4 linked regions of the Struthio camelus genome follow. The protein of the gene in region 4 interacts with the protein of the main gene of each other region in a biochemical or structural test. Links are inferred from orthologs where the notes say so. Each region holds a gene or a part of one and is shown on either strand. Other genes may lie near its edges.

The links.
Region 1: the proteins of PDGFRA (region 4) and PDGFB form a complex in vitro, tested with the Homo sapiens proteins (3 studies listed by BioGRID). The link is inferred for Struthio camelus from reciprocal best matches to the Homo sapiens genes PDGFRA and PDGFB.
Region 2: the proteins of PDGFRA (region 4) and PDGFC form a complex in vitro, tested with the Homo sapiens proteins (2 studies listed by BioGRID and IntAct, with this or other methods). The link is inferred for Struthio camelus from reciprocal best matches to the Homo sapiens genes PDGFRA and PDGFC.
Region 3: the proteins of PDGFRA (region 4) and PDGFA form a complex in vitro, tested with the Homo sapiens proteins (2 studies listed by BioGRID). The link is inferred for Struthio camelus from reciprocal best matches to the Homo sapiens genes PDGFRA and PDGFA.

Annotation. Positions count from the first base shown.
Region 1 is NC_090942.1:58,076,343-58,083,770, reverse strand, and holds the start of PDGFB (platelet-derived growth factor subunit B), read right to left. Parts: upstream 3,014-7,428; 5' UTR 2,799-3,013; intron 2,658-2,798; exon of another isoform or gene 2,472-2,657; 5' UTR 2,399-2,471; intron 1-2,398. UniProt on the Homo sapiens protein: Growth factor that plays an essential role in the regulation of embryonic development, cell proliferation, cell migration, survival and chemotaxis. Potent mitogen for cells of mesenchymal origin.
Region 2 is NC_090945.1:40,445,319-40,452,927, forward strand, and holds the start of PDGFC (platelet-derived growth factor C), read right to left. Parts: upstream 3,002-7,609; 5' UTR 1,946-3,001; coding exon 1,828-1,945; intron 1-1,827. UniProt on the Homo sapiens protein: Growth factor that plays an essential role in the regulation of embryonic development, cell proliferation, cell migration, survival and chemotaxis. Potent mitogen and chemoattractant for cells of mesenchymal origin.
Region 3 is NC_090956.1:7,681,460-7,688,452, reverse strand, and holds the start of PDGFA (platelet-derived growth factor subunit A), read right to left. Parts: upstream 3,002-6,993; 5' UTR 2,052-3,001; coding exon 1,989-2,051; intron 907-1,988; coding exon 810-906; intron 1-809.
Region 4 is NC_090945.1:56,954,092-56,961,564, forward strand, and holds the start of PDGFRA (platelet-derived growth factor receptor alpha), read right to left. Parts: upstream 3,003-7,473; 5' UTR 2,957-3,002; exon of another isoform or gene 2,839-2,956; 5' UTR 2,810-2,838; exon of another isoform or gene 2,803-2,809; intron 1-2,802. UniProt on the Homo sapiens protein: Tyrosine-protein kinase that acts as a cell-surface receptor for PDGFA, PDGFB and PDGFC and plays an essential role in the regulation of embryonic development, cell proliferation, survival and chemotaxis.

The sequences.
Region 1 (7,428 bases), on a different chromosome or scaffold from region 4:
TACCTATGACCCCACTTGGAAAGAGAGCAAAATAATATTTAAGCCACTCAGGCTTCAGTGGCTTTTCCTTATTCTTTCTGTTTTTAAGACGGGGACAGATTTTTCTCTAGTGAGGTATTTCAATCCAGGCTGTGCCAGTCTCACTCCACTGAGTTCACTGGCATTGAGTTCAATAGAATTGCACTCACTTAAAATTACTGAGCCCTGAGCCAGTCGGGAGCTCCTTTTATTCTCTTGCTTTTGTGAAATTAGCTTGTTATTTATCCCATGAATTCCCAGCTTTAATGGGGACAACTCTATCTTCCCTTCACATGCCCCGTGGGGTGGGTGCGGAGCCCCCCTTCTGAAAGCTGCTGTGGTATCAGTGCCATAGATGTCACAGGACAAGAGTTGGAGATATGTGCTGCCGTTGCATTATGCTGGGGGAGATATTTCAAGGCTATGTGAGGTGGCTTGATCATAAAAATGGTCTGCTAGAGCATCACAACTTGACAAGGTCTGGTGGCAACTGTGTGACAGCTGACAATAGCCCCTCAGGCAAACTGCGGCAAAACCCAGCAATTTCATAAGAGCCTGTAGCAGCATTTCTTATTAAAACACTTTCACCATCACCATAGCTTTCTAACCTGTGAACAGCTGAACTCATCTCCTCAGTTATGTCCTTATTACTAGAGAGCGGGCAACACGTGTCCCAGCACAATACACAATTCCTTGCTGCGAGACCTCTCCCCTCATCTTAAATGCTGGTGGAGAAAATGATCTACTAGCAACCATCCACAGAGGCACAATGTCAGGGGTGATACCTTTTCCTTTCTTTTTTATTTTTTGGAGAATTGTGAAACAGCAGGAATTAAAACAGGGCTTACAATGGAAAGCAAGACTCGGTCTGAACAGCAGAGATGTCTCAGCCTCTCCATGATGAATCCTCGTTTGAAAAACAATCAATGGAAAGAAATTAGGAGGTGTTGAAAGCCAAGTTGCAGTCAGCCCACCCACTCAAGGTATCTAACTTAGGTGGTGCGACTACTCTGGTGCCTAAGTTCAGGAGAACGATGAGCAATCCCTACGCCCACTCTGTGGGGCTGCCACAACTGTCAATGGAGGGGAGCAGTCGTCATGCTGACGTTAAGCACCCGGAGTAAGTTTGATGCTTAGTCTACACCAGGAGGCCCTTTCTGCGAGTGTATCTGTTTTACACCACGGGGGCCTGTTTACGTCAGGTTTATCCCAACCAAAGCGATCAGAACTGAGTAAACGTACGTAGCTTATGCCCACATTTGCACCATATGGCCCAATGACTTCCACGGGAGTCGCACCGACTTCCTGACAACTCAGTTTAGTCTAAAGGAGAAAGAAAGGAGGAACAGGGAAGAGAACGAAGGAAGGAGACAGACAGGCAGGGAGCATTGGGTTTACATGTGGTGCTGGAGAAAGGCAGAGTTTCAGGCATCCAGGGCGTGCAAAATTCACTGTCTTGCCCCTGGAGCTGCCAGGGTAAATGGTTTCTAGAGATGAGTAAATCATCACGGAGGAATTGACTCCAGAGGGGGGAAAAGGGGAAGGTGTCACCTGGCAAGCAGCTACTGGATGTGACCTGCCAGGCCACCCCTGGGAGTTTTCCCACCACCTGTCTCTCCCCGGTGGAGGGATACTCCCTGCCCTTCACCACGTCTTTCATTTCATCCATGCCTGGCAGAAATTTGGCAAAGATGAGAGGGTGAGGAAGACACACAGACACATCCAAAGGGCAGAGCAGGGACCTCAGTGACAGGAGAGAGGGAAAGGGCTTGTGCAGGGCATGGCTGTTGCCCCACGCTTTGGGAGGAAGGAGAAGGCAAAGTCACTTTGCATCTCCGTGGATGTGCGAATTGTGCAGAATTCAAAGAGCGAAGGCAAAGCTGGGGGGACTGATATATCAGGGCTTTCCTGTACGCATGCACGTTCCTGTGCCGGGGAGGGGAGGTGGCAATGCAGCCTTCCCTGCTCACGCTACCGTATATTCTCCCCCCCCTCCCTCCCCCCAGTTTAGAGTAGAAGGGAACAATTTCCGTATTCTGGCAACCACCCATTATATCTATGGATCTGCTCCCCACTCCATTCCCCCGTCTTTCCTGTTTTGATGAAAGGAAAAAATGTTCTGCTTTCCTTCTTTATTTTTCCAGACTGGTGAATAGCACTGGAAAGGAATTTGTCTCCCTCCCCCCTTCCCCTCTCCCGGTATAATAAATATATATGTATGTGTGTGCGGGTGAATACACCACACGTCAGAGGTCATCTATTGTTTTTGAATAGGGCTATACTATTTTTGTTTCCAAATTGAGTGGGTGGGGAGCATTCCCCCTCTCAAGCAACACCACGCCAAACACCGCTTCCCGCGCCCTCAGCCCCTGCCACTCACCGTATCCCCATCCTTCGCCCCGGGTCTGCAGCAAGCGGTGGCAGCAGCAGCGTCAAGAAGGAAGCGTGCTGAGCTAGAGTAAAAATAGCCCCGGCAGTTACTCAGCTCAGAACGTAACATGACTCATGATATGAAATGAAGATGAGGGTCGAAAACCAAAAGCGAGCGGCTCTTCTTCCCCCCACCTGCTAGCGTTGCTCACGTCGCAGAGCAAAACCCGTCCTCAGCGGTGCTGGCTGGGGGTCAGGGCGCAGGCCCAGCCGGAGGCGGAAAGCCCCCTTCTCCCTGGCGCGCTCACTGCGCGTCCCCCCCCCGAGGTCTGGCCCTCCCTCCTGCGCCGGTTTGGTTGTGCCGACACCGGGGGGAAGGTGAATTTGGGCACGCTGCGCCCGAGCCTCACCTCCTGAAAGCCGCAGGCTCAGAGCAAAACCGTGATGCGGTGGGAAGAAATACCCTTCGGCACCCTTGTGCCAGGGTAGCCACCAGCTGGCCTGGCTTGGTTGGCAGCAGCGCAAACACGGACCAAGATCCCGGTTTCTCCGCAGCCTGCGTGCCTGGAGCCGGCGCAGGGATGAGGAGCGGGTGGACACCCGCCGCCCACCCGCTCCCCGGGCAGGGTGCTCCCCGCACAGTGCTGGGGACACCCTGCTCCCTGGGTGCGTGGGCAGCACTTCTGATACGGCGGGAGGCCGGCTGTCGCTATCTGCCGGCGTGTGTAATAAAGGAGGGAGTTTAAAAATAGACTTTGAGCTGCAATGCCGGAAAGACAGCGAGACGTATAGAGCCGGTGTGTATTTAACCTACACGCCCTGTGTCTGACGCCCCGCTCGCATGGGCACCGGCCCCAAAGCAAAGGCCCCGCTCGCCAATCACTGGCGCAGCCCTCGAGGTGGTCCCTAGCACCCCTTTTATCGCGGATGGCAATGGGCTAGCTCCAAGCTTTGCTTTGTGGGTCCCAGGGCTGCCCCTCCTGAGATGCGCACCAAGCAGTGCAGCCCAGGCTGGACATCCACCCCTCGCACGCGCCTGACCACCCTAACGTGCCACTCCTCCACCCCCGTAAACCCAGACAAAGTGGCATCTCTCAGGACAAAGCCTTTCAATAGATCCCCTGCCCTCTGCCCTCTCCTGAACAATGAGAAATCAAGGAATATTGTCCGAGCTGAATAAAAAGGATCTAAATATAGCCTCTGATGTGTTCTTGGTTTCCTGCTCATGACTCCCCTCTCCTTCCCTGCCTCCCTCTTCTTTGCTCGCTAGCCTTGTGCACAGAAAGGTTTCTGGTGGGGTCACATCGCCAGCACGACCCTGTCTCCCCAGCGATGAGGCATGGGGAATTCCAAGGAGTTTGACTCCAGCTTCTATTTTCATAACAGAGGGATGGCGAGAGCACACGGTTTTTGCCTCGCTGGCTTATGTATGCACGGATGAGAGAGAAACTTGAGGTCAAGGGAGAGGGACCTTTCTCTCTCACTTCTGTCTCTTCGTGTCCTGGCCCTGCCATGCCCTGAAAGCTGTCCACGCGTTTCAGCCTGCTCGCAGCACCCTCAGCTGTTCCCACCCTCGGCTCCAGACGCAGCTCTGCCTAGAAAAATGCCTTTCTGCTTTGCAACCAGCCCCTGCAACTGCTCTCTGTCTGTAGGACCCTCACATACGACGCTGCCTTCCCACTCCCCCGGAGCAGGTCAGGCAAGAAGAAAGCAACTCAGAAAGAGCAAATAGAGGCAGACCCCCCCAGCCCAGCCCAGCCCAGCCCAGCTGAAAAAAAGCAGCGTGACCCGGGGTGGGGGGTGTTAGCCAGCAATGCGCTCCTGATGTTTAAACAAGGGACTCCCTTGGGTTTGTGGCTGATAAGGCTGGGTGTCAGGGGAATCTTTTCATTTGTTTTCCTCTTTAAACAAAAAGGCCTTCCCATAACCACAGTGAGGAGGGAGCCAACACCTCTTGACAAACAGACTTGTCTTACGTGCACACGCAGAAAACCTTTCTACCTTGTTCCTGGAGGGGAAAAAAACCTCGATTGTGAGTATTGGCAATACCACTCAGTGTCAGTGGAAAGGGGGGTGTGGGCCAGCAGTATTTTACGCAAGGCGACGGATACTCAGAGCTAACTGGAGCTTACCAACACGGCCATGGAGTGTCTGGGGGTGCAGAGGTCCCTTCTGATAGTGGGATCCAGATAGACAGGCCAGGAGTCTTCCTCAAAAGCAAGGAAAACTTCTCCAGCCCTCCTCCTGCTTTGAGCAGTGTTTCCCAAGACCCGTCTCCGACCTTCCCTGGGTTCGTGGCTGCGTTGGCGAGCAGGTGGAGCAGGGCTTTGAAGCCAGCCAGACCCTCCCACGCTTCGCTCTCTTTCCCTGGCTGCGAAATCTGGCAGTGGGGAAATTGTGAGTCTCTTTTCTTTATTTCTCTTTTGCCAAGAAAGTGGGGGCAGGCTCTTTGGAATGATGCTTTCACGTGCCAAGGACAGCACGCCAAGCGTGACAGCCACTGATGGGACAGGAGGGGGGAAGGAGCATCTCGGGATGCTCAGGAGAAGCAGAGGAGGCAGAAAGCAGTAGCAGCCACGGCCAATATCACGTGAGCAGGTGGAGAAGTTGTGTGGGGCTGGGGTGCTGGGAACGGCCCCCTTCCCCTGCCTCTCGGCCAACGCAAACAGCACATGGGTCTCAAGACATGAAAGGGAGAACAAGGAGCAGCTTGCTGGCAGATAGCGAGTTTAATGCCCATTCCCAGCTAGGAACAACTGGCAACGCCAGAGACTGGAGAATGGAAAAGTTCAGGTCTGTTTCACACGCAGCTGCTGCCAGAAAGCATCAGGCTAATGGATGCAGCAGGGTGGGGAGGGAAAAATCAGCATCCAGGCCACTGGAGATGAAGCCTCCTACCATGGACTGGGTGGCCGCCATTGCCAGGAAACAGTAAGAGCAGGGCTGCTCCACAGGAGAGGACACACCAGGAGCCAAGGGTGACCCCAGCCCAGGCAGTGACCCCACTGATCCCCTAGTCCCTGAGCAGGGGCAGAGATAGAGGGTACCCACAATATAGGTCTGGAGTCCAGCTAGGAAGACCAGTCGGTAAGTCAGGAGAGCAGGAGACAGGAGCAGGCACAGGTGTGCCTGCAGCATAGCTCAGGTTAGATGGAGCTCCTGGGCCATGAGCAGAGGATGCGTGAGTGCAAGTCCCAGGTGAGGCTGGTTGGACAGTTAGAGCCCATTAATGCAGTCAGCATCCTGACAACCATCAGGGTATATTCCCACACCTCACAGGGGTCTGAGCTTGAAGGCCTACTCCTTGTGAAGTGCCCTGGCTGCTACTGGTTGGGTGATGCCCACCTGGGGCAAGGACATGGAGCTGGGGCAGGATGGTGGCATCATAGCCAGGGCAAGTCACTGTGCAGGCATGGGGCACGGGGCCTGGGAGCTGGGTTGGGATCATGCTGTAACCCACAATATAGCTCAGGCCAGAAGCAAGTGCCTGGCCTGAGCTGAAATGGAGTCCCCAGGCCCATGGGCAGAGGGTCCCAGGGGTGGCTGGCCAGGGCCATTATGGCCCCTTATTGCACTCAGGGCCCTGACAACCATTAGCCACCCCGGAACAGGACATTCCCTGCCCTTCAGGGTGTAGGGCCCATAAATCTGTCCCTGGTGAGGCTCACCATCTGGGCAGGATACTGATTACCTAAGCCAGCCAGAGGGAAAAGTGGCTTGAAAGCCAAGACACACCTGAGCAACACGTAGTCAAGCTGAACTATCCTTGCCTGGCCTCATCCTTCCTTCACTCTCTCTCCCTTTCCCTCTGGAATGACAGTGCAACAAACTGCCTCCATCTCTGCAAACTATGCCAAGAAACTTTTATTTTTAAATTCACAAACAATGACCTAGCAGCTGCTCAAGGCTTTTTTTTTTCTTTTGGTAACATAGTGGAAATTATATATATATTTAATTAGCTCATCAGAGCTAAATTTCCCTTCCCACCATTCTTCACTAAAGGCAGATGCAAAATGACCCCCGACTCTGATCTCTATTGAAGGGGGTGTGACCCCTCTCCATCAAACAGAAGTTTCCAGAAAGCCAGTTTCTCCCATCCTGCCTCTTTGCTTTGTCTGATTGTTGGTAGATGGAGCCAAGAGTTTAAAATGCCATTTCAGCTGGCTCTCCATTATCTTGGGCAGAGAGAGGGCTGAGATACCTCTAAGAGTGGAAAAACTCCGATAAAGGAGGAGAACGTGGTATAGATATAGCCTCACATCTCTGCCAGGCCCTAGGATCCAGCCTGGCCGGGGCTACTAACCTAGTCTGGGTCCAAAATGACTCCATATACAACCTCATGGGACTCTTTGCACCGCAGCCCAGAGCAGGGTCGGCTCACCCAGCCCTGAAGGAGTCCCACTGTGTTAGTCAATCCTGTTGCCCGCTGTGGTGGCTGGAGCCGGGCTGGACCTGGGAGAAATGCAGCCATGGCCTGGCATCCACAGCACAAAACCCTCCTCCAGGTGGTCTGACCCCAGTGTCCCCAGAGGTGACTTGTTCTGTTGAGTCCAGTCTGGCCCTCTACTACCAAATGAAAATACAGCTGCTGGCCCCACTGAAAGCAATGGACAATCACTCTCAAAATATACTTTATGTGTGCAAATCATATGCTTCATATATATAATATGCACACACACACACATACACACACATATATATGTCTATATATACTTAATATATATTTACATCAACTGTTTCATGATCTGTTTAAAAAAAACCCACCTTTTTTTCCTCAAAATACTAGCCCTCTCAAGTTCTGTCCGGACTTGAAGCCCAGCCCAACTAGTGGATCTTTACCTTTTGCATCCAAAGATTAGAGCTTCCCTATGCACTGGCTAAAAGCCCCCAAGGGCAACTCTCCCGAGCTCACCCAGGGCAAATGTGGCCCATGAACTTCCTGCAGCTTTGCACTTCCCTGATGGGGGCTGCACGGACCACAGGGGCTGCTCGTCCTGTTGCAGGTGCTGCAAACACTAGCAGAGAACCGTCATCACTGCA
Region 2 (7,609 bases), about 17 Mb from region 4:
CTCCTGGATTTGCACATTATAAGACATAGTGACTGTATCTTACAGCACGCCAAGCTGCACTGAAAACCAGTTGAAGCTTGACCTAGGGCAGCTGCATTTCTGATGTATGTGAACAGAATGGAGCGTACAGTGTCATTTATACTTACACCAATTTACACCAGTTTTACTTCTGTCCTGTATAGCCCACCCTCTACAGTTGATTGTTGTACTCCCATTGTTAGACCTTGGTGCCCTTTTAAGGCCCAGCTACACTATCACACAACAAACCTCCTATGGCAGATTGACAACATACTAGCTTTCTTTCCAAGACTGACAAAATTCAACACCGGTAATTCTGTGTATGTCAGTATGCTTCACATGTACACCATGCTAATTAAACAGCATGAAGCATAACAGTACAAGTTTCTAGTACGTTAGCACCAGGGCTTTTTTGCCACAATCAGGTGCCCCAAAACCTCTAAATGCCAGATAAACCGGGAAGGGGGAGAAAGGGAGTGATTTCTTTTCTCATACAGAGCAGGTAATTTCCTGCACTGTGCACAAAGTCTGATTGGTTTCCTGTCAGAATAGCTGGGTTTCTGATTCTTTTGATCACCCTCCCTGGGCCCTTCACAGTTGCTCTGATTAGAGATTGATCCCTATACCGCTCTTTGATCAGCGGGTATGGCAGTCTGCAGGTGCCATATATCATCACATTAGAAGCCAGAGCAGTAGTAATCTCTCCTGCTAAATTTCATAGCATATTACATATTCTATTAATTCATAATGCTTTGCAAAAGTCTCTGAGCCTTCGCTTTCTATTAAAAGATATGACATAGGATACTTTTATCAAGGGAGCCCTGAGTTCAAAGTTGAAAGAATTGAACTAGCCTTGAATCCGCATTTTTGCTTTGCTTCATGATAGTGCACAGAACTTGGGGAGCTCTCAGTTTGTCCTTCTGCTTTGGTTTGTGCCCAGGGAGAAATCTCATTCTAGCTGACATGCAAACTACTAAAATATTTTTTCCTTACATTAAGCACCATGGTTTCCATGAATGTACACTAACAGCCCTAACTTTAGATATTTTACACTAAGTGTGGTTTCATGTAGTAGTACATAACGTTTCAGTTTGTAAAATATTCTTTAAAATGACTTCATAATAGCAGATCAAGAGGAAAGGCGCTTAAAAATCTGAATAATGTAAATCATATGGAGTTCAGAGGGTAAGCAAATTACACACCCTGAAGCTGCCCTTGCTGTATGAAAGGAGTCTTTCTCCAACTCTATGCAATCCCAGCCCAAGGGAGCTTGCATTTGAGAGTTTTCTAAACATTTCAGGTACACTTTAAAGTTGAAAGTAATTCTCATTTCCTACGCAGGATTAGCTCGTTTCCAGCCCATACAAAATACCACTCATTCACGCTCAGACACAAAAAACCCTCCCCCCGAGAGCCAAACATTTACGGCACAAAGGTATGCGATTTCCAAAAAGATTTTTTGCACCTCCAGCCACGGGAAGGAGAGTCTCCAAACAGGCTCCGGGGCTCTGTGCTCTCCTCCGGCCAGCTAACCGATGCCCTTTTACCTGTAGGGCTGCACTTAACGGGGCTGACAAGTTCCCCGCAGTGACAAGCGCCCAGCGAGACCACAGCTGCCCAGTCTCATTCATTCCGGTCTCGCCCGGGCCACGAAGCGCCCCGCACCCCGCCCCCGGGCCCGGGCCCGGGCCCCCCGCGCACTGCGCGCAGCGGGAAGCCGCGCTGCCCCGGGGGTGCCCGGCAGCCCCGCGGCCGCAAGCCGGGAGAGGAGGGCGCCCGGGTGCGCGGGCGCGGCGCAGGCCGCCTTACCGTTCTGCTCCTTGGCGCCGGCGAAGGGGAACTTGCTGCTGAGGTCGGACTCCGCGGCGGCGCCGGGCCGCCGGCCGGCCAGGGCAGATGTCAGCAGGAGCAGCGCCAGGAGGAGCATTTGGCCGGCGGGGCGAGGGGCTCAGGCGCACCAGGCACTTGCAGAGCGGCACCGAGGCCCGCGCGTCTCTCACCAGCGCCGGGCGCGGGCTGCGCCGCTGGGGAGAAGGCAGCACTGAGCCCGCTCTGGCAGCAGAGAATTGCAGGGTAGTTTCCACATAATCCCATCCAAAACTTTTTCCTAGAGCCTTTTGCTGCGTCTCCAGGTTTTGTTTTCCTTTGGCTTTTTTTCTTCTCTCTCTCAAGGATCAAAGCAAAACCTGGACCCAGACCAGCTTCCCAAGGACTAAACAATCCGGGGTAGCGCCGGGCGGGGGCCGGAGGGGGCCGAGGCTGGCGAAGGCGCACGGCAGGCAGCGGGGCCGGGAGAGGCGGGGGCGAGCGGGCCGCTGCTGCCGCGGAGGAGCGCGCACCTGTCAGCCGGGCAGCAGCGGCGCGGCCGGGCCGGCCGGCAGGGCGGGCGGGCGGCGACGACGGGAGGGAGGGAGGGAGGGAAGGAGGGAGGCCGCACTGCCGGGGAAATACCTTCTTCGCCCTCTAATCAGCAGCCGCGCTGCCAGCTCGGGCAGCGTCTCGTACCTCCCCGGCGGGGCTCCCCTTCGCTCTCGCCTGCTCCTTCCTCGGGCGTTTCTGCCCTGCCCCTCGGGGCCGGAGGGCGGCGCGGGGCTCCAAGCCGGGGCAGGGCGAGGGCGCCGGGGGTGCTCCGCGCCCCCGCGCTGCCCCGCACCTGGTTTGAGCTTCCTAAGTCACAAGAAGTTTTCGCTTGGGAAGAAATTAGTACAAACGGGCTGGGCAGCCCCTGGCGCCGGCGAGTTTCGCCACGCTCCGCTCCCTCCTCAGACGCCGGTCCTGCCTCCGCAGCCTCTTCCTGCAGACCTCTGGCCCCCTCCCAGCTCTCTCCTGGAGCACCTCTCTCCCAAACTCCCTTTCCCAGGAACCCTCGTCTCTCTCCCTAAACTCCTCCCTTCTATCTTCCCCTGCTTTAAAGCCCTCTCGCCGCGCTCTCCCTTCACCTTCCCCCGGCACGGGCTCACGCCAAGCGCCCTGTCCCAACTCCTGCCCCGCTAGCGCGGGCAGCCCGTCCCGGGGCCGGCAGAGGGAGGGCGAGCCGCGGGGCCGGCAGAGGGAGGGCGAGCCGCGGGGCCGGCCCGGCCCGGCCCGGCCCGGTCCTGCCCTGCCCGCGGAGCCGGCGGCGGCCGTTGGGCGGGCGGCGGCGGCCGTTGGGCCGGCCGGCGCGTGGGGGAGGGCGGGAGTGGGCCGGCAGCGCCCGGTCGCCCCCGCCGCCCCCCGCCCGCCTTGACGGCCGGCCGTGGCAGGTGCTGAAGCACCGATACACGGGGAATCTCCTCCCTGCCCCGGGTTGGAAGCAGAAAGAAAACGGAAATTCTCCGGCCAGTGCCCCCTTGGCCGCTGCGCCGTGAGGTGGTGCCGCCGTGGCCCCGCGGCCGTGCCTGAGCCCTGCCGAAAATGCCTCTGTAGCGAGAAGGACCTTTTGACCTTGAGAGCTTATGATACCCTATTTTCAGCTGCCTCAGTAACAGCACACATTAGCCACCCGTACTGACCGCTTCCAAAATTGCGCCGGGGCAAAAACTCGGGAGTTGTGCGCCGCCGGGCTTGCGGCAGGCCTGGACCCCTGGCCTAGCTTGGCAGCTTGCGGCGGGCCTTGGGGCAGCCTGTCAAACGCCAGCAGCAGCGGCCCGCGGGCCTGGCGGCCCTGGCCTTGGCGGCCTTGGCCCCCGGCTCTGGCCCTGGCCCTGCAGGCGGGTGCCCACAAGCCACCCCTGGTTCCTGGCCGGGGCACGAGCGTCTGGGTGAGGGATTGAGGTCACTGCGGTCCAGGCCAATTTCTGGGTTTAGTAATTAGGATGAGTCGTTATGCTGACTTACCGGTATTTGTTTACTGGGCTAATACTATGTTTTTATGGTAGTTGGGTTTGTACTTGAAAATTTAATGCATAGTTAAACATTTCATAGGAAGCATTTCCTTGATGGTTGGAAACGAAATATGAAGAGAACGTTAAAAAGACTCTGGGTACAGATTATTTTTCTTCTGACAGAATTTGCTGTTTCAGCTACCTTGAAATGACACCTTTAAGTATTTACATAAATAGATGGAAATGCTACCTTCTTTTATTCAACTTTTTACAGCTGTCTCTCTTTTTTTGATGAAATGCTGTGTAGCACTCAGTGAAGTGTTATCCATAAAGCAGACACTCTCTAGAATGGCTTTTTTTCCTGTTTCTCCAGCAGCCTGAACGGGAATTATTGAGGAGTATCCTCCCATTAACTTTAGTGAGGCCTAAAAGGACTGATGATATGAGCATCCATTAAGATAAAGTCGTGTTCCAACTTCTTCGTTACAGCTGACAAACTTTCTAACTTGTTTAGAGTAGGGTTCAAACCCATGGCAATGTGACGGGTCTGGGTAACAAGACTGAGTGCTAACTAAATACAGGGAGTGCAAGGGAAGTGACAGGAAGGCTTCAGCCTTTCCTCTCATCTGGGAAATTTTTAAATAGTGACTCCAGCCCCCATAGTTCTGAGGTGGTTTGGGGGACACATGGGAAGATCCATACCACAGAGGTCTCACTCGCCACCTGTGTAAGATATGCAAGAGAAGAACGGAGTCTGCACTACTGGAATTTGTACGTTCTGTACAGATTTCTTATCCCTTGACCCAGCTCTTCATATTATATAACTAAGCTATTTCTTCTCCTCAGCTACAGGGTAACAATGATAACACTGATAAGCATCCCCTCTGTTCTCAATAAGTGACATATTCTAGTTGGAGATGAAAGCTGTCTGTCCAAACTGAACAGTGTTTTGAAAGGTAGAGTTGGAGCATACTGTGAATGGCAACCCTTCCCTTACACAGTCTGAAGAAAGCAAGCTACTGGACTAAGCAGACTATGTATTTATTATTTTTATTATTGTTATTTATTATTTGTTGATTTCATCTTTGTTATTTAAAAATGGTAAGAAAATTAAAATGTACTACTCTCAGATCTTTTACCTTGAGGATTACAAGCTGTGTTTTTTGTAATCAAATAAATGAAATATTGCACTGTATCTTAACTTCCATTGCTTGAGGATTTTTTAGAGGGTTCTTTGTATTTTAGGAAATGGATGACGAGTTTGCTCTGAAAACAGGGACCTTATACGATGTCTCAAACTGTGTACATGAAAGCTAAATCATCCAACATCTTCTATAGCTTTGAAAATCTAGGCTGCATCAGAGTAGTGTTTCCTATGGCATCCCGGCTCTGACATTTCAAAGGAAAATGCAAGAAACCCCATAGTGGATGAATATGGAATAACACTATCTGGAGAGGGAGCTTTTATTCTTAACCTTCAGTAATTAAAGATCAGGGTATATTTTTGATCATAAGACTCTACATCCCTTTCAAAAATGCTTTTGTTGTTAATCCCAAACAAAATATTGTGTGTGTTAATCGCTACCCTTATAAACATCCAATCTTCTCTGAAATTCATGCTGAGCATTTATTACCAGATATCTATGCTTATTTTTGATTTTTGTTTTACTCTCCAGTTTCATCAAGTATATTTATGTGCTTGAATTATGAGAATAGGTAAATATAAACAACTTAACTTCTTCACTCTATTTATTTTCTGTATTATAACCCTATCATATCCTTTCCAAACTATGCATATTTACTATGCTTTTCATCTGAATATCTCTGTACCTCTAAGCATTTCAGAGTCCCCTATATTTCTGCTATACTTTATTTGGGGCAGGACAACCAGAACACAATATTCCAGGTGAAGGCTGGGATTCTTATATATAGTTAAATTATTATATATTCTTTTATATATATATATAGTTATACAAGTTTTTTATATATATAGAATATAGTTATATTCTTAAATATAGTTAAAACAGAATATTTATTTTTCATTGTGTATGACAATTCTTATGCATACTTTTTATCTTTTTATTGCCACTGCTCCTGCAATGATCCACAGTAATACTGACATTTAAAAAATATTCTGAATGGCTAGACAATTATGTCAAAGCAGTGTATGTATAGTCCAGATCATTCTTGCCAGTGCACATTACCCTGCATTGCCAATACTGAATTAACATGGGACCACAATGCCAATGCATGTGAGTTCTAGCAACTCCAGTGTCCAGATTTCTCCAGATTTTTTAAAGCTATCTGGGTCATTCATGTTTTGATAATTCAGTGTTCACTTTCTTTTCTGCATCCATAATAAGTGTTTTAAACTACACATAGCCTTCTATTCCTAACTTCTCTCCATGCTGAGAACTGCACTTAAGTCTTCTTTATCTTTCATCCCCTGGTCAGTTGCCATCACATATCTCTTCCCACAACCACCTAGCTTACATTATGTAGTCTTTCTGATGGTGTATCAGGAACGTTTTTACTTCTTTGAATTTTCAAGGTGTTTTTAATATAGTCTATTCAATTGTGTGTCAAGTATTTTTTTAATTTGAATATTGCAACAGGCATTTCTCCATTAATTGTCATCTTCAAATAGTTCGAGAGACATAATTTGCTCTACAGAGTAGCAACACTGATTTGTCCCTGTCAAATTGTTTTATAATGCTGTTTTTTCATTATCATTTAGAATTCTTCTAAGTGATTTTTGTTTACTAGAATAAAATTCTAATTATCTAGGTTGGATTGCCCCACAGGATTTGTTTTGCTCCAGTTCCAGAAATAATGTTACTGAAACTAAGTGCCCAGAGAAGGCAATGGAAATTTATCCTTTTCGGACTCTAGTGTCTCATTGTGATGGTGTGTAGTCTTTTTATCACAGAACTATAAAAATTATTGAAATAAAAAGGTTTCCTCTCTGATTATTATTAACTTAATGAATTACTGAAGTGAATTGGAGTTGGAGAGATGCATATTCTGTCCTTTACGAGTTGAACTGACACCAAGAGATTCACCTGGCTTCCATGGGTTTTAGATATTCCAAGCAAGTTCTGTAAGGAAGCATGCTATTTTTTACTCTTTATGCTGTGCTCAGAAAGACTCCCCCCACTCCCCCGACCATGAGATAAGCATTTCTCTTCTGGGGAGGAATAGAGGGAAGACTACAATATTGGGGAGGAAAACAGAAAAAGGCTAAGACATAAACCCCTTTTTATGCATGAGATGCAGCCAAAGGGAAGTGCTTCAGGAAATGTGTAACTCCACAAACACAATTAGTTCTATCAAATTCAGGTCTCACAAGAGCTGGAGTTAGGCATTTACATAATTGTTTGCAGGATTAAGACCCAGTGTTAGGAACAGAAGATTGATCCTCTTGTCTCCCCAGTCCTTGTCTCACTTCCTATCACGAATGAAAAAAAATCAATTGATAGATACGCCTGTATATTCTTTGTGAAATCATACCAAAGAAAAACAAGCATTTTGCAAAGTTTAGCGTGTAATTTAAAATTAATAAACATCTGATCATCCAGATGCACAGGCAAATGTCTGCTTTTGTGCTAGGTTCTCTGGATTTCAGTGTAGTTACATATGAACTGACTGCTGGCATAGCAGGGTTGAGGTTTAAATGTTTATGTTCACATTATGGAATTATTTTTAATTGTGCAAAAAAGTCTTAAACTAAGTTATTAAATACTGTTTTTGTACAAAATCTTTTATGGATGTGTGATAAAGTACCCGAA
Region 3 (6,993 bases), on a different chromosome or scaffold from region 4:
TGACTGAACCTGGCACAGACTTTACAAAAATACACAGCATATGGTTCAAAAGGAGATGGCCCGGTACCAACGCAAGCAAGAATTCATTCATTTTTCTCCATGTTTGTTCTTCAGAAAGATGCAGGTTTCCCCTGGGCACATCAAAGGTGCCGGGTTTATTCTCTCTCAACTAAGAGAAGAAATTGCCAAGAACAAAGTGCATCAAGTGAAACCAAACGATAAGAAACCCAGCTATACAGTGCTCCTGGATCTGATTTACTGCTGCAACGATTTGTTTGAACTGCACGTTCTCACTACACCCATTTGCATGCCTAATGATGCAGAAAATAACCCTGCGCTATTTTCTTTTGGAAAAAGTGTATTTTTAAGGGTAAGCTTCATAGGCAGGTTCCTGTTTAAAATCAGTATGGACGGGTTTATTTTCCTTTTAATAAAGCCCAGCTCTTGAAGAGACATTACTTCATTCATAAATATTGTTTCAAATATTTTAAATGCCTCTAGGACAGTAGTTTAAAGATAACAGAGCAATGCAAGGGCAACAACTACACCCTATGGAAATTCTTCCCCGCTGAGAAACGCCGCGGTCTGAAAACGCCGAGGGTGGCCGGGTGGCCGGCTGCCCCTCCACCCTCAACGCCCCCAACTCTGAACGCCCCATCGGCCCCTTGGCCGCCGCCTCCCCGGCAAATAAAGCCCCGGGGCCGGGGGCCGAGGCCGGGGGCCGGCGCGGGGCGCAGCCGCCCGCGGAGCCTCCCCGCGGGGCGGCGGCGGCCGACGGCGCGGAAGGAAGGAGGACGGGACTAATTTACCTACGGAGTCAATCTCCAGGAGGCGCTGCAAGTCGCGGATGCTGTGGATCTCGCTGTGCGCCAGCCGCTCGATGAGCTCCTGCGGGATCTCGGCCTCCTTCAAAGACACACACGCACCGCGGGTCACCGCGCAGCCCTCCGCGTCTGGTGCTTCGGGGCTGGGATTTGGGGTGCTCGCAGGGGGTAGGGACGAGGCACGGGCAACCCCCTCCCCCCCGAAACCCCCGCCGGCTGCTGGAGCGCGCCCCGCTGCGCGCCCGCTGAGCTGCGCCACGGCCCGCGCGGCCCCGACCCGGCGCGGAGTTTGCGCCCCGTTGCCGCCGCCCTCTCCCCGCCGCCCCCCGCCGGCTGCAACCCCCCCCCCCCACACACACACACCCCGGGCTCCCAGGGCTGAAGTTTGCCCGAGCGGCCGAAAGTTCAGCGCGGGCTCCGCGAGCGCGGAGCGCCGGGGCCCCGCCGGCCCGCGAGCTCCCACCCTGCGCAGCCGCCGCCCCCGGGAAAGTTACGGCCGCCGGCAGCGCCGAGCACCCCCCCCTTCCCCGACCCCAGCGCGGCCACCTGTAGCAACCCCGGCAAGCGGCTCCGCGCCCCCGGGCGGCCCCCGGGCGGCGGGTTCGAGCCCGACCCTCGCCCACTCTGACCCGGCTCGTCTGCAAAGCCGCGGAGGGGCGTTTCGGGCTGTATTAAGCCAACTTCGCCCCGGGGCGCCCGCGGGAGCCGCGGCCCTCGCCAACGGTGCCCGGCGGCGTGCAGCGCCGTGCGCCGCGGGGCGGCCCTGCCCGGCGGCTCCGCGCTGCGCTCTGTTTGCAAGTAATCGCAGCCCCTTTGCACCGGGGTGGGGGGGAGAGGCGTGAATATAACATATATATTTCTATATATTTTTATATATATACACACACATGTATATTTTTTAAGCGCGCCTGCAGCCTGCAGCCCCGCAGCGGAATGCACGGTCATTGCCCTTCGCCTCCGGCATGCATGAAATGGCAACTCGCTATTTTGCCGCGGCCGCGCAGGGGCTGGGGCAGGGCGAGCGCCGCCGGCCAGGCCAGGCGCGGAGATGCCGCGGCCGCCGGGCGGGCAGCCCGCTCCCCGGTGCCTCCGCCGCCGGCTCGCCCCAGCGCCGGCTGCGGCGCCTCCCGGGCCCCGCGACCGCGACAAGCCGCTCTCACCTACCTCGCAGAAGGTAAAGGACAGGTAGCCAAAACCTATCAGCAAAACGCAAGCCCAGGTCCTCATCGCGGTCTAATGCACTTTAGACACGGAGGGAAGGCAACGCTGATGGAGAGGAGCTGCAGGCCGGCTCCTGCCGCGCAGAAATTCAGTACCATCCCTCAGGGGCGAGACAGCGGGGTGGCTCGGGGCTGCTCCGCATCCGCGGTGGCCGGGGCTGCCTCGGGGCGGCGGTGGTTTAATCGCGGCGCTGCCGGTGTTTGTATGTTCCCCTCGCTACGGGAGCGTGGCTGCGCTCGTGTCTGCTGCTCTCGCTCGCTCCTCTTGGCTCTTAGGACTAGACCAGCCGGTACTTCTGCATATTTGCTTAGATCAGACCAAAGTGAAACCCAAGGAGTCGATCCGGAGCGCAGCCGAAACGCCCATCACCTGTCTGGGGCGGCTCGCCCCCCGGCGGGCGGCGCTGGGGCCCGCCTCCCCCCGCCGCGCCGCGGCCTCCCGCTCGGGATTAGGACGGATGGATTTCTCTTATTTGCCGGATTTTCTCCCACCCCGCTAGGCTGCCCTCCACCCTCTGCCCCTTTTGCAAAAAGGGGAAAATAAAAATTAAAAAAAAAAAAAAGCAAAAGATCTTTATTGATACGGATCGAAATGTTTCTCTTGCTGAGAATGGTCCCTCTTCCCTCCCCGGCTTGGGGGTGAGGTTAAAAATAATAATTAATTATAGATAATAGCAGTGATAAATCGGAGCAATATTGCAAGATCTCGCTGGCTGCCTCGGTGCAGTTCCCTTCTCCACTTTGCACGGGAGAAAAGCGAGGAAGAGGAGGAGGAGGAAGGAAAAAAAAAGAATATATATATATATATATATATATATATATATATATATATATATATATATATATATATATATATGCAAGAAGGTTTAAATCCCAAGGGGATCGGAGACGAACTGCAACTCCTGGCGGAGGGAGCCTTGCCGGGCGGGCTGCGAAGCGCTGGCCTGTGTGCAGCGTGGCTGCTCGGCGGAGCAGCATATAGCGCGGCCGCGCCGCTTGCGCCTCCCCCGGCCCTCCCCCGGCCCTCCCGGCCCCAGCCCCCCGAGCAGCGCGCCGCGGGGGTGCCGCCAGCTGCAGCCCTGCTCCGCCGCCAGAGGGGCTCTGCCCGCCCGCGCGGGGGGCGGAATTAATAATAATAATAATAATAATAATAATAATAATAATAATAATAATAATAGGAAGAAAGCGCGGAGCCGGGGCAGGGCTAGGGGCCGAGGGCAGCGGGGCAGCCCCCGCCGCCCCGGCCCTCTGCGGCACTGGGGCGGCGGCGCGGCCAAGGGCTGGAGGCGCTGCGCCGCGGCCGCCCTGCGCCCCGCCGGCATCCACCTTGTGCCCTGCCTCTGCGGTGAGGCGGAAAGAGCTCGCCCTGATCGAGGAGGGGTCCTGGGTTTTTTTTTTTTTTGGGGGGGTGGGGGCCGAGGGCTCTCGCCTTTTGCAAAACGGGAGGGACAAACTGGCGCTGGGGTGGGGTTTTTTTTTTTTCTTTAATTTTCCTTCTCTGTTGCAGTTCAGCCTGCATTGCACGGGATAACCCACCCCCCCCAAACACACACACCCCCTCAAAAATAAAATAAAATAAAATAAAAATTAAGCAGCGCGGGGTGGCCGTGAGCGGCAGGCGCCCTCCGCCCTGCGGCACCTGGCTGCGGCATGCGCGGGCGCGGGGCTCCCCGCCGCGGCCGCGGAGGCGCGGCGCCCCGGCCGCCCCTGCCCGCAGCCGCCCGCGGCCGCCGGGGGCAGCGCGCCCTCCCGCCGCCGCCTCCCTCCCCGCCGGCCCGCCGAGAAAATGCCCCTTCTCGCCGGCGCGCATTGGCACAAGGTGCCTGCTGCACCCTGACATCTCCCTGAACTCATTGTGATTTAAATAACAGCCCTTTCTCAGCTAAACAAAGCATCTTAATAGCAGATGCAAAGAATTCAGCTCGTCTGAAAATCCAATAGCATTTAAGTGGATTAACTGCAATAACACAACTGAGGAGTGATACTATCCTTCACGGAAGACAATAGACTGTAAATGCACAGCCAGGGAGACTTATCCTTTCATCTCTGAATTTCCTTCAGCATTTCAAAAGCGAATGCTTTCTAGAAGCCCTGAAGGGGTTTGCACGCTACTGGCTTGGACATGCTTCTAGGAAACAACCTGTGCTTTAATGGGCACTTTGCAATTGCATAGAAGTTCCCACCAAAACAGAAGTGGCCTTTCAAGTACGTGTAATTCTCTCTCATGATGTCATGTAGACTTACAGGGTGGTCTCCAGGACCACAAGGGGGGGAAAAAAGGTGGGGGTTGAAAAGGGAGAAAAGGAAAAGAAATGTAAAAGATTTGGAAGCACTTTAAAAAGGGGAATGCCTTTCTTTCCTCCCCCCCCCCCAAACAGAAAACGCTGAGCCAGTGTGGAGCCATTCCCAAATGCCTTCTGATAAAAAAAGGAAAAAAAAAGAGAAGGGAAGAAGGTTCGAGTGCCACATTGCAGCAGACCCGTCCTCGCCGGCTGCTCTCAGGCCAGCAGGGTAAGCTGGAGGCAGACCAGAGCTGGGCACTTTGGTTGTTGCCATCACTTTCTTACATAGCGGTTGACATCACAGAAGCAAAAAGTGATGACTTCAGTTTAAAAACTTCTGATCTGCACTTATCATTTGCTGGGGTTAAAGAAACAACTCCTATGGTCCGCGTTGTCATAGTAATAAAAATAATAATTACCAAACAGTGAAATAGATTCTGACAGTACCGATCTCACTGAGCATTTACTCCTCTCTTTCCTTCGTTCATTGGCTAATGTGTATCTGGCATCAGCATTGCTGGGTGTTTGTGTGTAGCTCTTTCAAGTGATGTTCCTCTACTAAAGCCAACATGGAGAGAACTTCTAATTTATCTATTGTTAAGAAGTCTTTGCAGTTTTGATTTTTCTTGCATTTCCCTCATTTTTATGAGAAACATACTGCATCAGCATCTTTTTTAAATCTGTCATTGTTGAGCTCAGATAAGCATCTTTACCCTGGGTCAAGTTACACTTGGAGTAGCTTTTAACATTAGACTGTTTATATGGATCATTGCAAATATTTGATAATAATGTAAAATATGTAAGATCCCAGAAGAGACCCAAGACCAGAGAACGTGAATAAAATTCACACACAGATTCTGAAAACAGCTTTATACTTGGGTTGTCTCTCTCCTTATGAAACAAATTTTTCTCCTTGGGTGTTGTGTGATATAAGAATGCATTTGCTCTAAGTTGTGAGAGTTTTTATAAAGCATGCAAAACCATTTCTGTATGAAAAACGGTGTACAAGAGCAATGGGGAATGCAGTTTATGTCTGCACGGCACCCTTCCTGCAGCCTGCAGGTCTGTTAGCCCTGTGCGTACCATACGTGTCCCATACAGCCACACACGTGGAAAGAGTGACAGGGTGGTATTTATAGGTTTAAAAGAAAATCAGGACAGATAACAGAGCATCAGAAAATTATCTTTTGCCCCTTTTTTTATGTATTTGACCGGAGCAAGCAAGATGTTACTGGTCTAATTTAAAGGTGCTGCACATACTGTTAGAAGTCCCTCAAACGTTAGGAATTAGCCTAGCATCAGACCGTTACAGACGGTGGAGAGGGAGGACCTCAGGCTCGGTGCAGCACTTGGCGAGGAGGGGGAACGTGCTGAAGCTCCTTCATACAGACACAAAATGAAACTACTTCAGTGGCACGAGCGGTTTCTGCAAGCGGTGACGCATAAACCCAGGGTGCCCCTAAATGACGTTTCCAGCCCCATTTACACCTCGCGTTTAAAGCAGCGCAGGCTCAGGTGTCAGAAACGCGGCTAGGTCAAGCTGCCTGGTGGGACCACCTCCTGTTTCAGAGCAGCTTCGCGGGCTGCGGGCGGGTGCCAGCCGCCTCGCAGGAAGGGTGCGTGGGCTGGGGGGGGGCCACCGAGCCGTGGCGGGAGGGCGTGCTCTCCAGGACTTTTCCTCATTGGTAATCACATTAAAATGAATAAGAACAGAATGAGTTTTGGCTAGTTTTTTTTGGGGGGGAGGGACACCTCCTTTTATGATAGTGGGCTGTTTGGGGCTATCCAAAGCGATTAAGTGCATCCTGCTAGATACGTCCTGTCACGGCAGCTGAAAATGCACCAAGAGCAGGGAGGGTCCTGGCTCCAGCAACGGACCGTAAGAAATGTTCTCAGAGGTTCAGACCCCGCATCACTGAGCATCAGTGCTGAACGATATAATGCCAGGATAAAAGTTCAGGAAGTCAAACCCAGAAAGGTACACAGGAAGCTGTGTACCACTTTGGGTGGTTTCTCTCTGTTCCCGAATGTTCATTTCTTTGGCTTGTAGTTTCAGAGGGACGCGTGCCAATGGTGAGGGTAGGTCATCTTCCTTCTTGCTTGACTGGCACCTGCCTTGGGAAACGGGTACAAAGATGTCCCCGGTGGGAGTGAAGCGTACAAACGCGAAACGGTCTTACAGCAGGAAAAACAGGCTCTTGCCTGAAACTTGGCCCAGGAAGAGCAACAAGGCAAGATGCAAGGAGAACAAGCAAGACAGTTGTTATTCCAGCTGTTATACCTACAAATATTATTTCCTCCTTTTCCAGCTCTTCCTTTTGGATCCTTTCATCGGCTCCGTCCCTCTGGCGGAGCTCTGTTTGCTTTGAAACTTTCTTTGGTGCAGCTTTCCAGATGCTTTCATGGTTGATAATTTTCAAATAATCACAAGATGCAAATCTGCTACGAGGTTTCAGTTAAGCGGAGGGATCAGAAAAGGCTCCGTAAAGCTACACAGTGCTGCAGAAAGTGAATACACAAGGTAGCTGTGTCCTGTTTGGCCTGCGTGGGTCAATAACTCCAAGCCATGATAGTTCTGGAGACGGTTTGCTCTGCTGGGAACGGAACAGGTCCCATGGGAGCCTTCAGTGGCAGGTGAGACCCAACTCTGCCCGTAGCAGTGGATTG
Region 4 (7,473 bases):
TTGCGGCCATGATGAACAAAGGATACAAGCAAGGCAAGACTTGTATAAAATAATCCATTTTATGTTCCATTTTACACCAGGTGATGTAGTTGGCAATTACCAACAAGGTCTGTAGCATGCAAGTCTTCTTTGGCCTATATAAATGACACCCAAATCCTAGCTTGATACTGTAGTATTGTGGAGAGGCATTTTATTCAAATATTTATTACTTCCCGCTTTCTTGAAACCTAATACATGTATATTACTCTCAACAATCTTCCATATATCGAGCAGCAAATAACAAGAAAGGTGGCCCCAGTGCCCAATCACTGCCAGTGTGGCACACCTTCTCCCCCTTGATGTCTACAGAGCACTACCAGAACAAGGAGTCTCGTTTTAAGCGACGAGTGACTGCCTGCAAGCTGGGAGAGCTGTTTTACTTGCGGACTCCTAAATCCCAGTGCTTTGTATGACCTCATTTTTCTTTAAACTTTTTTTCAAGCTCTGAGAGGAAGGTTAACTAAACCACTGTTTAGCAGAGGGCCTTTCTAAAACGCCCATTGTTTACTGGAAGCTAAAAGTGAAGTCCCTTGCTGGGAGATCTTCCTCTCACTTCTAGACCCATAATTAAAAGCCGGATCTGTACAATTCACATTTTGCTCCAGCCGCTGACAGAGGAACCTTTGATGCTTGTCCCCTCGTTTTGCCAGATCCTGTCTCTTGCCCCGTCCAGGGACGCCAAGTCGACACATGAAGGCGGGAGCCCAGCTGGGCTCTATCAGCCCTGGACGGGACCTCCCTGGATGCCTCGGGGTGCCTGAAGGTGCCCCCAGCCCTGCTTGGCAGCACAGGGGAACCAGGGGAAAGGTGGCAAGAGGGGAGCAAGGCTGGCCCAGAACAGCGGGTCCCGCTGCTCCAGCACTCCTGCCTCACAGCCGAGGACACCCAGGCTATCAGCCTGCTCAGTTTGGGAGCGGGTGCATTCACGCTCTCCAGCCCCCACCGTGGGGTGTCGATGCTTGCCAGCCCCAGTCTGGCTCGCAGAGAGCCAGAAGCCCCGAGGGAGCGGGAGAAGTGCCACTTCCCGGGGCCTCCTGGTGCCCACGGCTCCTCGGCTGAGCCAGGCTCTGACTGCTTACACCGTGGGTGACTAAAGGCTGCCTGGGACACCCAGCAAACCTAGCAGAGATGGCAGCTCCCAGCCCACCACTGTTTGTCTAGGAAACAATAGGAAAGCCTTTGCCAAGCTGGAGCAAATTTTTTCACATGAGGTAGCCAGGAAAAAGAAAAGGGCGACAGGGATAAGGGGGGAAGGGGAGAGCAAACATGCGTTTCCCTCCAGAGCTGATTAAATATGGTTGGCACTCTGATTTGAGGTGAGCTCCGGGCTTCTTTTCTCAGCTCTCTCCATCAGGCAAGACACGGACCTTCCTGCACCCTCTCGGAGGACTGCACACACTTGCCCGTGGGGTCCAGGGGCAGCCAGGAATCGCCAGGGGCACCGTGTCCGTCAGGCCTGACCCAGCCTGCGGTGATGCCGGTCCATGCCGGCTGGTGGAGTCCGGGTGCCAGCGGTGTGCCAGGAGGCTGCAGGATTTGCAAGAGATGCACCAAAAAGGCCGTCAAGGGGCACGGGAAGCATGCGCAGGGCTCAGGGGGTGGCCAAGGCACTCCCGCGGTCCTCCGGGATGTGGGCAAGCCGCAGGGGCTGGCTGCTGCAGCTCGGGGGCTGCTGCTGCTGCCTCGCGAAATCTGTCGCTGCTCGCTCCAGAAAAAGCTGTCCAAGTCCTGTTCTCTGGAACGGCTCCTGGGCTGCTGAATCGCCATCCAAAAATGTTGAGCAATGCTGTGGACAGCCAAAAAGCCATTTCCTACTTGCTCCTAGGGCTTTCCAGGGGACTCCAGCCTGGCAGAAGCTGGCAAATTTGCAACCTCCGCGCTTGACAAAATCCAGACGGTGGCCGTGAAGACTCTGCCCTCCCCTGGGTTGCAAGGCGGTGGGCTTCGGGAGTCTGGTAGGGAGGAGCGGGGCTGGGTTCCCGTTGTAAGCGGGGCTGTAAGCTGGAAAGCCTCCAGGTACCAGTCGGGCTGCCTGAATTCAGCATCTTCCCTTCCGCCGAGACGTGTAAAAAAGACGGGGCGCGCCAGGATGGAGATGGGCTTGCCTGGATGGGGGGTGTTTGTGTGTCCCCTCCTCGGGGTCTCAGGCTCTTTAGACTACCCGGTCGGAGGGACTTAGGCAGGGAAGGGGGTTCTAAAGAGGGGAAGGTGGTGAAAAACAAAGGGTGGGGGAAGGGACCGGAGAGCAGCGGGGGCGAAGGAAGCAAGGGCAGAGGTGGGGATTAAACGGGTTGCGAGAAGAGAGAGAGCGGCTGGCCACGACCCTACCTCGCTTTGTCGGTGCTTGTGGCCCCGTCCCCGCCGGGGCGGGCACCGCAGCAGCCCGCGGAGCCCGTCGGGGCGCTACGGCCCCCGCGGCAGGAGCGCGGCGCGGTGGCCCCCGCCGCCCCAATGTGTTTGTCATTAGCGCCGCCCGCGCTGCTCGCCGCCCGCGCCCCGACGGCCGCGCAGCGCCGGCTCCCCGCGCCCCGCGCAGCGCCGTGGGCCCCAGCGCCCGCCGCCGCCGCCTGCGCCCCGCGGGAAGGCGTCCGCCGCCCGGTCCAGCCGCACCGGGGCTCCGCCGACAGAGCATTAAAAAAGCCCACATAAATACACATAAATTACGGGGGTGGGGTGGGTGGGGGGGAGAGGAACATAAAACAACGACAACAGCAACAAAGAGGGAGAAAAGATGAAAAAAAAAGTGGGAAAATCCTCCCTCACCTCGTACCTTCTCCTTTGTAATCCGCAGTTACAATCCTGCAGATTGTAAAATATCCAAAATATGTCCACGTCTTTTGTGACTTTCCCCGCTCCGCCGCGCTCTTTCCCTCCCGCTCGCCCTCCCTCCAGATCCGACTGTAATGGGCTCACAAACCGCGTCCCGTAATTGATTCAATGTTATAGTCCATCCTTCCAAAACTAATCATTTGCTTTAAGTAAATAGCTGTCAGGAAATTAAGCCCCCTCCGGCCCCTTCAGAATAAGAGCCGCGCTGGCGCGCTCGGCGCCCCCAGCCCCGCGGCCGGAGGCGGGCGTGCCGGCGGCGGGCTCTTACGCAGGCAGGGGGGCCAGTCTCAGCCTCCAGATTTCACCAGCCTTGCAGAGGAGGGGGGAGGTTAGCCATATGGCAGGGGCGAGGGGGAGGAAAGGGGGAATCGGAGAGTTTTGCACTGCAGGGGGAAAAAAAAAAAGTTTCATGAAAACTCAGAGTGTTCCCAATGTCATGAATGAGCCTTCCTCCTCAGACCCTCTAGGAAGGTGGGTCGGGCGCCGGGCTCGGTGTCCGCGGTCACAGTGTGAGTTTATGGATGAGGAGTTTGATCGGGAAACGAATGTGCAGCTTCCTCATGTCCTTTGTACACTACTGAGCATGGGCTTGGTAGAGAGAGCTGCATGGACGGCTGGGTGGCAGCCAGAAGCAGGAAGCACTGAGAGAGGGAGAGAGACGAATCTCTAATATTTATGAATGAAAGACACAACGAAAGGTAACCTTCACAAGGAGCCAGCCACACCAAACCGTGGCGCTTTGGCGGGATCGGGAAAGCTCTTCTACTCTTCTCTTCCTTTGGTTTGCTCCACGCAAACAAAACCCAGTAATAACCAAGCCACGGGGCACTGCCGAGGGCTGGAGGTGCCTGTGGAGGCGAGGGCTGCGCACGTTTGAGTGGGTCCTGTTTGAATACGCTCTGGGCAGAGCTTTGATCCCCGCTGGGGAGAGTCGGGTATCTCTTCTTTGTTGGCTCTTGCTATTTGCTGCCGATAAGAGGTAGCCGTGGGAGTTCACAGGGAGCTGCTCTTGCCTTTTTCTGGAGAGTCCGTGCGAAAAGCGGCGCGGCGCCGGTGCTGGCGGCGGGGCGATGCGGCGGCCGCGGGCGAGGGGGCAGTGCAGCCCCAGGAACGGAGCGCGCCGCGCCGCCGCCGCCGCCGCCGCCGCCGCCGCCGCCGCCGCCGCCGCCGCCCGGGGAGCCGCACCGACGCCGGAGCTGCGCCCCGCGCTCCCTCCTGCTTCCCCCCCATCCCGCGGCTCGCCCACCCTCCCTCCTGCGCCTGCTTTTCTATTTATTTATTTTTCTTCCGTTTAGCGTTGCACAAAAGAAAAGTTTGTTCTCAAAGTCAAGCAGCAGGATCCAGTGCTTTTTTTCTCCTTCCTAACAGAAGGAGAATTAAGCCTCTGAAGCGCAGATTCCCTGAAGGGAATGGGGGCAGAAACGAGAACCAACTCCTGTGAAAAGCATGTTCAAGCTGAGGTCCCAGTGGCTGGGTTTGCAGGGTCCCCAGTGGTGCTCACAGCCTTTTGCGTGCTCTCCACTAGTGCATCCTCAGCCTGGTGAGTGCACAACCCCGCTATTGCTTCCACATGTTCCTCCAGGAAATCATCGGAGTCAGATCTGTGAGCAGCCCCTTGTTCGGAATGCTAACAGGATACCGTAATGCTTGTGAATAAACAACAGGCTCCAAGCGAGCAAAAAAGCAAGGCAAAAAGTCACTGCACCTTGGAATTATCTACCTCGGGGTGCAAGCAAACACAGCAGCCTCGACCCCGGTAATTTGTGGAGGCTGGAGGAGAAAAACCCTATCATTAATTTGATCAGGGCTCTGGGTTCGCGCAGATTTAAGCGCCACGAAGATTTAAAGTTCAAATCGGTTACAACAACTCCCTGTGAGCGCTGAGGACATTCTGCACGGTCGTGCTTCGTTTGGTTGTGATTTATCGGCGTAAGTGTATCTGGTTTAAGGTGCAAAGCGATGAAGGTGATTCTTGGCGAAGTACCGTCAGGATCAGAAGTAATGGGAGAGGAACTCTTGCAGAAAGAAAGGAGGAAAAGGAAGGGGAGAACGCGCCTTCTGGTTGCAATTACCTGCCTCATTTGAATAATGCTTTTGTCATGATCATTATCGAGCATTCGTTAACGGCTTCCATGTGGCATCTCACAGGACCGAGCAAAAAATACAAAACTGCAAATTCGGGACTGGTAAAGCTGCCTGCTAGGCCAGCCTGGCGCTGCGGGCGGGGAGCCCGCCGGCTCCCGCAGGGACAGGGGACGGGGCAGGCGGTGTCCCCGTCCCCCAGCCCCTCCTGGGCCGGCGAGGACGGCTCCGGGGGCAGCGCTGACGCTTCCCCCGACGTGGCTCCCCGGCCCCGCGCCCGCCCCCCCGAGGAAGGAGGAGGGCGAGGAGTCCCCCGCCGCGGCCGGCAGACCCCGCAAGGCGCAGGGGAGCCGGGGGACGGGCTGGCGGCAGGGCGAGAGGCTGTGCCCCGGGCAAGGCGGGCACTGGGTTTCTCCCAGTGGAGCGGCAGCGGGAGGGACCCTCGAGCCCTCCCCGGCCCCCGGGGGCCTCGCCGGGCTTGGCCCGCAGGCAGCCCCCGACCGTGGCGTCGGGCGAGGGGCCGCGGAGCCGCCTGCAAGGGCAGGTCGGCCGCAGCAGGAAAGCAGCTGGGCCGCTCCCCCCCCGAAGTGCTGGCGGTGCCTATGGATTGGTCCCGAGCAGGGGAGGTGGTATTTCAAATAAACGCGTTTAGGACGACTCCGGAGCTAGCTCCCCCCGCCCCGTGTGGCCCAGGGGGGTCCCGTCCAGGGAGGCGCGGGGGACTTGGGGTTACTGAAAGGACAGGCTGGGGGTGGGGGATTTTCACCACTGCTACCCCCAAGTCTGTCTCCTCTCCTCTCCTCCCCCCATAGGGGGCTGGAGCGTAAGGCATCCTGCTAGCGTGTGTTTATGTGGCAACAGATGGAAGCTGCACGTCTTAAACAAAACTGGCGTCCGGGCTAGAGCCGCTCTCGCCTGTTTGCGCTCCCAACGTGCCCTCCGGGGTGGGCGCGGGCCGGCGGGGCAGCTCCTTCCCCCAGGCCCAAGCGCCTGCAGGGGTCCGGCCCGAGGGCAACGACGGGGCCGAGGAAAGCTGCGTTTTCCCCCTTTTTCCAGGGCGGTTCTTTGCCGTCTCGGACTTTTCCAGAGGGGCTGGGAGCCTGCGAGAGGCCTTGCTCAGCCCCTCAGGAGGAGTCCCAATTTGCTGCGAATAATGAGCCCCTTCCTGAAGCTCTCTCCCAAGGGTGAGCTGGGTTGAGTTTAACTAGCTGCAGGCTATTAGGCAGGCTAATAGGGGGTTAATTTGGACCCCAAGCGGCCGCGGGAGCGGCTACCTCCTTCTGCAGCGCGCGGAGTGCGGTGCTGCCGTCCCGGCCGGCGGGGTGCCCCGGGCCCTGCAAAAAAGCCCCGTCGTGGGGACTCAGCCTTTGTGGTGGTGGGAAGGAAAGTCTGGTTTTGATTATTGTTACCCATGTTCAAGCCTTCGCAGCGTTCACTTTGATGCGCGGTGCTGAAACCGCCTGCCAGCCCCGGCCGCCCGCACCCCGCCGGGGCCGCCCGCCTTGCACCGGGCCGGGCCTCGGCCCTTCCCGGGGCTCGCTCGGCTCTTCCCGCCTGCCTTCTCTAAGGTCCGTGAACGCAGGGCTGCTAATCTGGACCCGTAAAACGCTGAGCTTCCCTTATGGTGTATATACATTGAATAGCCCTATGCTGGCCAGGCTGTATTTGCATGGGTCATCCACGGGCTGGTCACCTTTTTCACTTTTTTTTTTAATGTCTTCCTCCCCCTCTCCCCCAAAAAAGTTTAGTAGTGTTTTCTTCTTTAGCAGAGGGCAAAGACTCTCCTGCCTGCTGATTCCTGCAAGCTCCGGGGAACGAGCGGCTCCCGGATGCGCAGGGAGGCGGGGGGGCCACCGCGGCAGGGGGCATGGAGACCCCCCGGCGGCCCGCCTGTTCCCCCAACACCAACACAAACCAAAACAAGCAGCCCCCTGCGTTTTCAAGAGTGGCTCCAATCTGGAGCAGAAACTCATCAAACCCCGAGAGAGGGAGAAAGCTGCGCGGCCTCTTCTCGCTTGTCACTATAAATCTGTGCACACGTCTATCGGCGAGGGAGGAGAGCACAGCAGCGAGGGTTTCCTGTGGCAGGAGGGGAGCGAGCGCGGGGAGGGCCGAGCCGAGCCAGCTCCGGGCCGGCAGCCCCCGCGGACCTGCGCGCGTTCACAGGCCCCCCCCGGGCTTGCTCTTGCTCTCTTTCCGCAGCAGCAGCTCCGCTCATTCTGTTTGCTCAACAGAATTTGGCGCTGAATAGCAGGGATCTCGTGTCACCGGGAGAGAAGTGAGCCAGACAAAAGAAATTAACGGCTAGCCCCGCGTTTCCCAGCCTCCCCTCCCCTACCTTTATTTTGATTCACCACACGGTTGTTTAAGGTAGTTCCTTGCGCCGGCCGTTTTCCCACTAAGGCCGCCGATGCCGCAACTTCGAGCCGCAACTTTTGCTTTCATTGCTGCATTTGGCTCTTGACATTAAAAGATGCCAAAACAGCCGTGGAAGCCTTATTCTCTGCAAACAGGCTTTGTTTT